Sus scrofa: one gene and its partner. The protein of the gene in region 1 interacts with the protein of each later gene in a biochemical or structural test. Links are inferred from orthologs where the notes say so. Each region holds a gene or a part of one and is shown in the gene's direction. Other genes may lie near its edges.

Evidence for each region. The genes of interacting proteins can lie anywhere in the genome.
Region 2: the proteins of HTT (region 1) and HAP1 form a complex in vitro, tested with the Homo sapiens proteins (4 studies listed by BioGRID). The link is inferred for Sus scrofa from reciprocal best matches to the Homo sapiens genes HTT and HAP1.

What each region holds. Positions count from the first base shown.
Region 1 is NC_010450.4:1,902,536-1,908,668, forward strand, and holds part of HTT (huntingtin), read left to right. Parts: intron 1-667; coding exon 668-809; intron 810-2,336; coding exon 2,337-2,516; intron 2,517-2,635; coding exon 2,636-2,812; intron 2,813-3,073; coding exon 3,074-3,150; intron 3,151-4,329; coding exon 4,330-4,468; intron 4,469-5,359; coding exon 5,360-5,482; intron 5,483-6,133.
Region 2 is NC_010454.4:20,940,495-20,946,627, forward strand, and holds part of HAP1 (huntingtin-associated protein 1), read left to right. Parts: exon of another isoform or gene 1-45; coding exon of another isoform or gene 46-169; intron 170-541; coding exon 542-621; intron 622-1,015; coding exon 1,016-1,132; intron 1,133-1,258; coding exon 1,259-1,419; intron 1,420-1,612; coding exon 1,613-1,715; intron 1,716-1,793; coding exon 1,794-1,860; intron 1,861-4,144; coding exon 4,145-4,275; intron 4,276-4,900; coding exon 4,901-4,975; intron 4,976-5,273; coding exon 5,274-5,408; intron 5,409-5,542; coding exon 5,543-5,634; intron 5,635-5,947; coding exon 5,948-5,986; intron 5,987-6,133. UniProt on the Homo sapiens protein: Originally identified as neuronal protein that specifically associates with HTT/huntingtin and the binding is enhanced by an expanded polyglutamine repeat within HTT possibly affecting HAP1 interaction properties.

The sequences.
Region 1 (6,133 bases):
TTACCGAAGTACAGAGGTTTTCTCGTGGCCCTTGACAGCTTTCAGGGCCAGCTGAAGCTGGGAATTCCAGAAGCCACAGCCGTGCCGTCAGACACAGCCAGTGAGAGCTCTCCAGTGAGAGTGCCGGTTGAATGTGCGGCTTTATGGTGGATTTTGCCTTTCAGTCAAGCATTTCAGTCTTCTGCCTGTTAAATCCTCTGTGTCTGTCTTTCTTTTCTTTTTTTTTTTTGTCTTTTTTCTTTTTAGGGCCACATATGGAGGTTCCCAGGCTAGGGATCCAATTGGAGTTACAGCTACTGGCCTACACCACAGCCACAGCAACGTGGGATCTGAGCCTCGTCTGTGACCTGCACCACAGCTCACAGCAGCACTGGATCCTCAACCCCCTGAGTGAGGCCAGGGATTGAACCCGCACCCTCATGGTTCCTAGCTGGATTTGTTTCCGCTGTGCCATGATGGGAACTCCTAAATCCCCTGTTTCCATGTGCGCTTTATCGTGGCTCAGAACTAGATACCTGCGAGTGTATGGTGCCCGCACTCGTTCTCGTGGGCGGTATTTAAAGTGTCTGCTTTGGAACTGGGCCTGAGCAGTAACCATCTCCAGGGTTTGAAAAGAAGCCAGCTGCCGTCTCAGGAATGCTTTCAGAGCTTCCCTTGCTCCTTCTAGAAGACGCAGTCTGTCCAGCACCAAGTCGCTTGGTCCCCAGATGTCTGGAGAAGACGAGGACTCCGACGCGGCTTCCAGACTGGGAATGTGCAGTAGAGAAATCGTACGAAGAGGGGCCCTGATTCTCTTCTGTGATTACGTCGTAAGTTTGAAAGTGTGAGTGGTGGCGGCTTGAGGGCTGGGCCGCGGCCCATGTAGATGATGCTTCTAGAGACTGACCTGCACCGTCCCCTCCTTCAGAAGGGGAAACTGCAGTTAAAGCCGACTCCTGCTCTGATGCAGAAGCAGAAGCCAGGCGGGGTGTGCATGCTGGGGGTCGAGGCCTGTCCGCAGAAACTTCAGGCGGCTGTCCAGTGATTGCCCGCGTCCTGCCAGGTGCTGGGCACGCTTGCTGTCTCAGGGAAGCAGTAGCATAACAGTAATAACACAAAGAAGCCACACGTTTGGCTGAGTGGGGTTCTGATTTAAAAGTCTGTGGAAAAGGTATTTGATGTTAATTGTGTTTTAAAATAGATTCCTATTCAAATGCCATTCTTTTTTTTTGGTCTTTTTGCCATTTCTTGGGCCGCTCCCGTGGCATATGGAGGTTCCCAGGCTAGGGGTCAAATTGGAGCTGTAGCCACGGGCCTACGCCAGAGCCACAGCAACATGGGATCCAAGCCTCGTCTGCAACCTACACCACAGCTCACGGCAACACCGGATCCTTAACCCACTGAGTGAGGCCAGGGATCGAACCTGCAACCTCATGGTTCCTAGTCGGATTCGTTAACCACTGTGCCACGACGGGAACTCCTCAAATGCCATTCTTTTTTTTTAAAAAAATAAAACCTTTTGCGGAGCTTTTGACCATAAAACCAGCATCTCTTGTTTAACACAGAAAGTGTAAACCCACTAAGTCCACAAGAGGTGGAATCTAATTGTGTTACTCAGAGAGAGCCAGCCCACCATTTACCCTGTGGGGGGGACTCAGTGCTTTCTCCAGACTGCCGGGGACGCTGCCACCCCTTGGTGCAGACACGGGGCTGGGTTCGCCGCTGTCACGCCGCAGCGCGTCCAAGCAGTACACGTCGCCTGAGCTGCTTGTTGGGACAAAGATCTTGTTGCTCTGATAGCAGTTTATTGATACTCAACATTTCGCTTTACATGCTTGATGGGGACATGGTTTTCTGGTCTCATTCCACTTTTGAGAAACAATTTGATGTAATTAAATAATGCTGTTTCCACAGAAAAGCAAGAAAGTATTGACTTTACAAAAGTTAATCCTATCCAGTTATCCCATATGGAAAGGGTTGATCATTAACCAGAAAATTGGTCTCATTTTCCAGTTTCTGCCTAGGGTTATGTGTTGTGATGAAAAGGCAACCTGTGTAATTTTAAGTCTGTGTTTCTCAGCTCCTTACAAATCTGACGTGAGCCCCTGTCCCTGTTGCTGTGCCGCAGGGTCACACTTCCCAGGGGCCCGACTGAGCCACCTCGGCTGCAGAGCGCGGTTGGGGTGGGGGCCCTGTGAGGTCTGCTTCCACCTTGTGGGTTGTCGGAGCACAACCGCTAGGTATTTGCCGGGAGGGCCACCGCCTGGGATTTGTTTTGCCCTCCCACCACTTCGGCCTTTGCCCTGTCCCCTCCTCGTCTGCTGGAAAGTGTCTTTCCTTGCTGTCCGTGTCCTCAGTGCCAGAACCTGCATGACTCGGAGCACTTGACCTGGCTCATCGTGAACCACATTCAGGATCTCATCCACCTGTCGCACGAGCCGCCGGTGCAGGACTTCATCAGCGCCGTGCACCGCAACGCCGCAGCCAGCGGCCTTTTCATCCAGGCCATCCAGTCCCGCTGTGAGAACCTCTCCGCCGTAAGTCTCCCTGCTGCCGGCGGTCCTGCGCCTTGAAAGCCGAGGGTTGGCGTCTTTAACCCGCTCGTTTCCAGCCGACAGGTCACCCAGCTCTTGTCGTTTCTTCTCTCAAACCCCAGCCTACCACGCTGAAGAAAACCCTGCAGTGCCTGGAAGGGATCCACCTGAGCCAGTCGGGTGCCGTGCTGACGCTGTACGTGGACAAGCTTCTGCGCACGCCGTTCCGGGTGCTGGCCCGCATGGTCGACACCCTGGCTTGCCGCCGGGTGGAAATGCTTTTGGCCGCAAACTTACAGGTACTGAGAAAACAGGGGCATTGATTTGCATTGAAACGTAGCTGGGCGAGGGGAGCAGCTGTCTGGTTCTCCTCCGCAGCTCGGTCTTCACGCGTCCCCTGAGGGCAGTGGAAGGACCGGCCACTCCCCGTGTGTCAGGGGCCAGCGCTTCCTGGCCTCCTGGTCCGCCCGCGCGTGCGCGCCCTTTGTCTCGTGAAGGGGCACAGGGTACGGGCTCGCCTCTGCACGGCAGACCCTCTGACGTGTTCCTGTCTACTTTAGAGCAGCATGGCCCAGTTGCCCGTGGAGGAACTGACCCGAATCCAGGAATACCTTCAGAGCAGCGGCTTAGCTCAGAGGTAATGCTGGGCCCAGGTGCTGCCTGCTTTGGGATGAGAGCCTGTCACTTGTGAGGGAGCAGCCATAGGACGAGAGAGCCGTGTGCCGTGTGGACCGGCTCCTGCAGAAGGGCCCCAGGGAGCCTTCCCAAGTGACAGGCTTGGATCTCCCTGCACAGAAAGTGAAGAAGAGCTGGTAGGGTCACCTCCGTGGCGTTGGCACAGCCATGCTCGCACCCTGGGCTCTTTGAGCGTGAGGGGTCTTCTCGTGGTCTCTGTTCACTGTCCATGATGAGTGGGAGTTTTCAGCTTTATTTTAGCAAACTCAGAGCCTGTGATCTGATCACTAAGTAAGACGTGGCAGAGCTGAAAGGCGTTGGTTCCCCAGTGCTCGGCGTGCAGGAGTTATAGCGGCCTCTTTTTAAAATCTTACCTCGTCATCGCTATTTATCACCGGACTTTGTTTGCAAAGTCTCGTAGAGGCCTTTGTCAGAGGTCCTGACATGCATTACACGAGTGTATTTCCCTGAAGGCAACAGAAGTTTAGTTTTTACCTTCTTTTCCTCGACAGTGGGGAAAACGTGTGTGTGAGTCCAGTTTTTATGCTGTGACTCCATCTTCACAGTAGCCCGTGTTGGCTTCTTCAGTTGAGAAGGGCCGGGACGCGGTGGGCAGTGCGTGGTTTCCCGGGACCTGTGGGCACGCTGGGCGAGCTCTGTTGAGATTGGTACTGTGAGGCTGCCGTTCTCATACCGGATGGCGGGCGGCCAGACTGTTCTTATTTTTGACCCTGGACTCGGCATTCAGCCCAGAGGAGGAAGATTAAAGTAGTATGTGCCAGGCGAGGTGATGCTTTTATGGAATAAATGGAAATTGGCGTAAACCACACTGTTGGGAGATGAAGCGGGAAGTTTTGTGTCCTCGGCTCCTAGATGGTCTCCTTTGTGTTGATCAAGCATTAAGTCACTTTTACTGGCTGTTATGCCAGGTACGAGCTGCTGCAGTGTTGAATTGAAATTCCTGAGACTATTTATGGGACACAGCTGTGGCTTTTACAAGTAAACTGGGGCCGGAATTGGCATCATGACTTGTTTGCGTGCCAATGAGAAATAGGTCTGAACAGAAAGTTTCAGACGTGTCACGTTGGGCCGTAAGAAGCCGCCGCGACGCTTCTCTAACCCACGTGTGATTGGCTTCCAGACACCAAAGGCTCTCCTCCCTGCTGGACAGGCTGCGTCTCGCCACCGCCCCAGGCTCGCGTGGTCCCGCTCCTCGGGTCTCGTCCCACCCGCTGGACGGGGACGGGCCCCTGGCACTGGAGACAGTGAGTCCTGACAAAGTAAGTGCGGCCTGTCCACCTGCGACACACAGGCCCCTCGGGGCGCTGAGCACCTCTGTCTGCCTGCGGCAAAGCCCGAGCCTGCGGCGGGCGGCTCTGGCAGCAGGAGGTCCCGGCGCCGCGCAGCCCCTGCGGCGCTCAGCCTGCCCCGTTTCTTGCTGGCGATGGGCACAGTCACATCAGTGACAGGATCCGTGAGGTCCGGCCCTCGTTGTTAGCAGGGGCTGAGGGTCAGGGCAGTCAGTGGACACGCAGGAGGGGCAGCTGTGGCCTGCGCCCACTTGCCTGTCTCCTCTCCTGCCGACCTCCCTGTGCTGACCCCACCCCGAGGCCCTGGTTCTTACTGTTACCCTCACCATCCACACCGCGGGGCTGGGGGCCCCCTGGGGCCCTGGTGGGACCTTGGCGCTCTACTTTCCCGGGGAGCAGTCAACTGAGAGAACTTGGATCCCAAAACCCAGCAGTTCCCGGCGTAGATGAGCCACCTCTGGCTGCTCTTCTCAGGCCTGATGAATTCAGCACCTTTGCTGCACTGGCCTGGGGATGAGGAACAAAGCGGCCCCAGGAGAAGATGGGCAGCCTGCTGCCCGATAGGGCAGGACAGAGAGGAGGGCCCGCTCCCCTCGGTGCTTTGCTGAGTTTAAAGGCGAGTTGAGCATTCCCCCATCAGGCGAGGGGAGGAGAGGGTGTCCGGACGAGTAACAAGTCCAAAGACCCAGCCTTGGTAGCAGTTCTGGTGGCAAAGGCCTGTGTGGCCGTCAGCATGGCCGGAGTCCCATGTGTCCTCGGGTCTGGGCCACAGGCGAAGAAGCAGCACGTGTCCAGTGGACTCAAAACCCCCGGAAAGCCCTGCCCAGTTCCGTTCCGTAACACACCTTGTCTCGTCCCCAGGACTGGTACCTCCGTCTGGTGAAATCCCAGTGCTGGACTCGCTCAGACTCCGCGCTGCTGGAAGGGGCGGAGCTGGTGAGCCGGATCCCACCCGGCGACATGGGCGCCTTCCTGATGAACCCGGTAGGGGCGAGCGACGGGGTGCTGGGGGCCCTCTCCCTCCAGGCGTCCGCCTTTGAGGTGTTCTGTGGTCGCGTGACCTGCCGATGCCACGCACCGCTTAGGTTTGCGCCGTTACCCCAGTCCAGAAAGGACAGGACCCGATTTCAACCACAGTGCAGGCGCAGAGGAGGTCACCTTTTCACGCCCTCGAAGAAGATGGGTTCTCTTGGGTCGCGGTCACTTCTCATTGCTTGTCTCGTGCTCGCGAGAACGGGATTGGAATGCCCTCGCAGTGTGCGGTTGAGCTGGCGCTTTGCCGCTGCTCTGGAAGTTGGTAACCCCCTCCCTGCGTGGAGCGGGGTCCCCCCCACAGGCAGCGAGTCCCCTGGCGGTGCCTTCACCTGGTGTCCTGCAGGCAGGCCGTGCAGAGCAGCCGTGCCTGCACTCAGCCCCCTTTGTGGCCATCCAGCCACAGCCTTAGCAGCTGCCTTCTCAGGCCTCCTGGCACAAGCAGTCCTTAAACCCAGATGCTGAGATGCTGCCATGAAATAGACCAGGTGGGAGTGAGCAGGGCCTGGGGGGCTCGGAGAGTGTTTGGAAATGAGGCTGCGTTGAAAAAACAGAATTGGCCCAAAACCAGTTTGCTAAAATCATTGTAAGGGCCACTCAGTG
Region 2 (6,133 bases), on another chromosome or scaffold:
CTCGACCAATCGTAGGGGTCGAGAGGTGGGCGGAGCCTCAGACAGATGCTGCCTCTCCTCTGCCCTCCCACCCTCTCTTGGGTCGCTGGAGATCTCTGGGTTGGGTCTAGAGGCTCAGGTGTCCCCCACTCCAGTGCTGGAGAAGTCTCCTCCTCACTACACGCAACAAGTGCGGATGGGTGACTGTGCCAGTTTTTGATGACCCATGAGGCTCCAGTGAGCTGGCTAGGGCTGCCTTCTGGGTTAGGGGTGATGAGTCAGTAGGCGCTGTACTTCCGCTAGCTGCCTCCATTCTCCTAGGTTCCAGGGACTGTAGAACTGTAATCTCCCTACCTCATCCAGCCTCTTCCACGAGAAAAAAAAAAAAAAAAAAAAAAGGCCCTGGAAGCAGGGAAGGGAGTATTGAGTACTGGGGGCGTGGAGAGGATATTGGGGGCAGAAAGGGGTCTTCTCCCTCATTGCTGATCTTTGCTGTTGAGGGCAGGAGACAGTACTGTGGGGTGGCGTATGCCCCCTGTTTTCTGACCCGTTTCTCTTGCAGCACTGTGTCCCGACCAGCCCCTGCCAGTCAAGAAGATCACCCAAGAAGATGTCAAAGTGATGATGAATTTGCTAGAGGAGGTGTGTGCTCCCTTCTCAACCCGGGACCAGGGCAGAGCCTTACCCAGGCTCCTGTTTTAATCCCATCTTGGCGGGTAGGGAGGAGTCTGTCTGCTTCCATACCTCCCTGAGGGCCAAGCTGGGGGTCCCACTTAGGCAAGACAGGGAGATGTGAGATGTCCAGGCTGGAAGAGCGCTTGGGACCATCTTTTCCCACGAGGGAAACTGAATCAGGTCCTACAGCGGGTTCATCGCAGGCTCTGGTCCAGTACCCTGGAGAACCAGGGGCCAGAGAGGGTTTCCCCTAGTTGCCTAGCTCCCCTCTAACCCCGGAGGACTCCTTAGCCTCTCTCGCCTGTCTGGGAGATCCCAGAAACCAGGAAGGTTTTCCCCATGGATGGGGGTCCCTCTGCAGAGAGAACGGGACCTGAACACTGCAGCTCGCATTGGCCGGTCCCTGGTGAAACAGAACAGTGTTCTGACGGAGGAGAACAGCAAGCTGGAAGCCATGCTGGGCTCGGCCAGGGAGGAGGTACCAGGGCGCCGGGGGGAGGAACCAGGAGGGGGCGTATCTCAGGCCTGCCTCCATCTCACTGTGCCAGGATCTGTGCCTGCCCCTGTCTGCACCCCGACCCCAGGCTCTTCTTCCTCTGGCCAGATTTTACATCTCAGGCACCAGGTGAGCCTGCGGGATGACCTTCTCCAGCTTTACTCGGATTCTGATGAGGAGGAGGAGGAGGAGGAGGAAGGTGAAGAGGAGGAGGAAGAAGAAGAGGAAGAAGAGGAGGAGGAAGATGGGGAGGAAGAAGAAGAGCAGAGGTGAGATCATTCCTACAAAGCTTCGGAGCTGTGCGTGACCTGCTGGTGCATCTGGGTACCCCTTCTCTGAGCCCCGGTTTTCTTGTTCACCATGGAGACACCTTGTACCCGACCACCGCAGGCAGCCCTGGGTGGGCTGCGAACTGGGTGCCCCATGCCCTTGCACCCTGACTCCCATGGCTCCCTCCTCTAGGACCCCTCTGGCAGAGTCAGAGTTGCACTGCTGCCCGCAGCTGGAAGCCCTGCAGGAGCAGCTGAGGCTGCTGGAGGAGGAGAACGAGCAGCTGCGAGAGGAGGTGAGGATGGGGAAAGAGGGCGCGCTGGTGAGCACGGGGTGTTGACTCCCCTGCCACTTCCTCTCTCGCTCCCTCCAGGCCTCCCAGCTCGACGACCTTGAGGAGGAGGAGCAGATGCTCATTCTGGACTGCGTGGAGCAGTTTTGTAGGTGAACTTGTAACTTGGCATAGGGGGCTGTCCTGGGGAATGGAGGGAAGAGCCCAGGATGAGTCTGGAGACTTGGAATTCAAGGCACAGCTCTGGCACTCCCTAGCTGTGTGACCTTGGCCAATTTCCTTGACCTTTCTGAACCTTCATCTTTAGAAAGGGGATGAATGATCTTGGCCCTGCTGACCTCTCCAGGGGGGCAGCTGAGGAAGTGCTTTGTACAGATGCATGGGGGCTCCACTAAGCCCATCTCCTTTTGTTCTTTGGGGAGAGGGAGGGGCTGCTAGAGACCAGGCACCCTGGGCACTGGGCCTGGGACAGTTCAGAGTCACACAGTAGACAGAGGCTGTGCCTGGAATTTAAGAAGATGAGTGAGGCACAGCATTTGTCTCCGAGGAGCTGGGGTCTAGCTGGGGAGATGCAGACTCAAGATGGCAACACTTGAACCCATGCTGTTCCCCTCACCCCAAATCTGCCTTCCCTGCCCCTGGTTGCTTGAATGCCCCTCTCCCCCCAATCCTGGTCCCAGGCCCCTGGAGTCGGAGCGAGTCCCCACGTTCTGTTGCTTCTACCTCCTAGGATAGGCTCACGTCTCTGTCCTCTTGCCCACCCCAGCTGCCTCTAGCCCAGGCCTCCTCTTAACTGCTCTCTCTGCCTCCACTCCTGCCATTCCAGGCCCTCTGCACACAGCCCAAAGGGATTTTGTAAAACCAGATCTGGGAGTTCCCACTGTGGGGTTAAGAACCTGACATAGTGTCCATGAGGATGCAGGTTCCATCCCTTGCCTCGATCAGTGGGTTAAGGATCTGGTGTTACCACAAGCTGCAGTGTAGGTCATGGATGGAGTTCGGATTCAGTGTTGCTGTGGCTGTGGCATAGGCCTGCAGGTGCAGCTTGTGATTCAACCCTTAGCCTGGAGGAGTTCCCGTCGTGGCGCAGTGGTTAACGAATCCGACTAGGAACCATGAGGTTGCGGGTTCGGTCCCTGCCCTTGCTCAGTGGGTTAACGATCCGGCGTTGCCGTGAGCTGTGGTGTAGTTTGCAGACGAGGCTCGGATACCGCGTTGCTGTGGCTCTGGCGTAGGCCAGTGGCTACAGCTCGGATTCGACCCCTAGCCTGGGAACCTCCATATGCCGCAGGAGCGGCCCAAAGAAATAGCAAAAAAAAAAAAAAAAAAAAAAAAAAAAGTCAACCCTTAGCCTGGAAACTTCCATATGCCTCAGGTGGGGTCTTAAAAAAACAACAGGGAATTCCCATCGTGGTGCAGCAGAAAGAAATCCAACTAGTATGCGTGAGAATGTGGGTTTCATCTCTGGCCTTGCTCAGTGGGTTGGGGATCCGGCCTTGCTGTGAGCTGTGGTGTAGCTTGCAGACTCGGCTTGGATCTGGTGTTGCTGCGGCTATGGTGTAGGTCGGTGGCTGTAGCTCCAATTTAATCCCTAGCTTGGGAACTTCCATAAGCTGCGAGTGCGGCCCTAAAAAAAAAAATCTGTTTATGTCACTCCCCTGCCTAAACACCTCAAAAACTTCCCACTGTCCACATAATAAGCCCCAGCCTCCCTAACCTGTCTACTGCCCCGCCACCCTCTCCTGATGTCCCATAATTGCCTCTGGGTCTCTCCACACCCTGCCTTCCCTTCTGCCTGGTGAGCCCCATTTGCCCTGTGGCAGTCTTAGCTTCTCAGATTGTGCCAGGCTAGCCTGGCTGCTGCATCAATGCCCCCGCTGCACCCGTTAGCCATGCTGCATCCCAGCCCGTGATATGCACGACTGTGATTCTTTTTCCCTGAGTCTCCTCATGAGTCTGGAGCTCAGTGAGGGCTGGGGCTGGTCTTGCTGACTCGCTTACCCTATGTCAGTCAGAAATGTGTACTGAAACTGAAGACCCAGAGTTCCCGTCATGGCTCAGTGGTTAATGAACCCGACTAGTATCCATGAGGATGCGAGTTTGATCCCTGGCCTTGCTCGGTGGGTGAAGGATCTGTAGGTTGCCGACATGGCTTGGATCGGGTATGGCTGTGGTGTAGGCCGGCAGCTGTAGCTCTGATTTGACCCCAGCCTGGGAGCATCCGTATGCTGAGCGTGTGGCCCTAAAAAGACAAAAGACAAAAAAAAAAAAAAAAAAAAAAAAGAAAAGAAAAAGAAGGAAGACTCGAGTGAGGGATGCTAAGCTCTGCGGAACCTTGGGTACTCGGCAGGAGCTGAGGGGCACTGGCGATGGAGGTGTCTGGGAGGCTGAGGGCCTGGGGGGCCAGGGCTGACCTCCGCCCTCCCCCCCAGCGGAGGCCAGCCAGCAGATGGCCGAGCTGTCGGAGGTGCTGGCGCTCCGGATGGAGAACTTTGAGCAGCAGCAGAGGGAGGTCGCCCAGCTGCGGGCCCAGGTGGTGAAGCTGCAGCAGTGCTGCCGGTCGGTGCGTTGGGGCTTGTGTGGGGCTCCCTCCTCTTGCCAGGGCCATGCCCCCTTCCCCCTGCCCCCACCCCATGGCGCTCTCAGCTCAGAGGCCCAAGGCCCCTCTCTGGGTCAGTGTCAGAGTTGGAGGAGACCTCAGAGAGCTCCTTGTCCTGTCCCCTCGTCCCAAGTCAGGGACCGAGCCCAAAGAGGGACACGGGATGGTCCAGGAACCAGGTCACATGACTCCCTCACCTTCTTTGGCTTTATTCCGCGGGACTTCTTTTTTTAAAGAGCGGCCAGAGAGGAGTTCCCGTCATGGCTCAGTGGTAACGAACCCGACTAGTATCCATGAGGAGATGGGTTCAATCCCTGGCCTCGCTCAGTGGATTCAGGATCCAGTGTTGCTGTGAGCTGTGGTGTAGGTTGCAGATGTGGCTCGGATCCTGCATTGCTGTGGCCATGGCATAGGCCAGCAGCGGTAGCTCTGGTTCGACCCCTAGCCTGGGAACCTCCATATGCCGCAGGTGCAGCCCTAAACCAAAAAAAGAGCTGCCAAAGACTCACTGGGAGACGTGCCAGAAGTGGGGGGCGGGGCCCGGGAGTGGGAGGCCTGGGTGGGGGTTCACTGGTCTTGGTCCTTCCAGTATGGGGTGGAGACTGAGAAGTTGCAGCAGCAGCTGGCTTCCGAGAAAGAAATCCAGATGCAGCTCCAGGACGAGGTGAGCCTTCCCCTGAGTTCCCAGCTCAGAGTCCGGCGGGGGCGGGGAACCTGGGACCCTTGGGCTGCCGCCTGACTCCTGAGAGGACAAGCTCTTTGCAGCAGCGACGGGGTCTGTCCTTTCTGTACCCTCAGTCTCTGGCACAGGGCCTGGAAGGTGGCAGTTCATCAGAGTCTGAGTGGAGTGGGGTCCCCCTGTGTGTCATTAGGTGGGTCTGGAGCCTGGGCCTCTTGCCTCTTGGCCCAGGCTCCCCAGTCCCCGGGGAGAGAGTGGGCAGAGCTTGTGGGCCGGTTCCCAGCTGCAGGACCTTCGGGAGAAGTACTCAGAGTGTGGGGGCATGCTGATTGAGGCCCAGGACGAGGTGAGGACACTCCGCCAGCAAGCCCCCGTGTCCACTGGCTCTGTCACCCACTACACGTACACTGTACCTCTGGTGAGGCCCCCCCCGGCTGCCCGCCCCTTACCTCTGTGTGACTTGTGTCTATCTGCTGTCCCTTCCTGTGCTTGGAGGTACAGGTGGGGGGGTCCTGGGGGGCACCTCTGGTAATGTCCCCCTTGCTACCCTAGGAGGCGCTTCCTGACTTTCAGGAGACCCTGGCTGAGGAGCTCAGAATGTCTATAAGGAGGATTATCTCAGACCGGGTGTTTTTTATGGAAAGGTGCGCTATGGGCCCAGAGACCCTAGCCTGCCCTGCCCTCATTCCTGCCTGCCTGGTGGGCAGCAGCCTTTGTGTTAGTGGGAGGGGCTTGCCCGAGCTCTGACCTCTGACCTGCACTCCCCCCCACCCCCGCAGTACCCCTTCTCCTGCCTCATTGGTCCCCGGCCCCTTTCTGTTCAACACCTTTCATCTGGGTACACGTTCTGGGTCCATCATTTCTCTGGGGTTTTTCCGCGTGACGGGGCCCCAGGGATTTAGCTCTTTGAGCTTCCCGTTGCCTTGTGACAAGTGTAGGGCCTTTTTTCTATTGAAGGAATTATGAAGTGACTCCAGAGGAGACATCAGACCTGGGGTAAGCTGGCCAGGGCCTCCCTCTTCACCTGCCCTCACCTTTCAGCTTCTAGACAACCACCTGCCTCCTTTGCCATCGGATCTTGCCGCATAGGGGGCTGTCTGATTTGAAGTGTCACCAAGTGGGGCCAAAGCCATCCCTTCACCT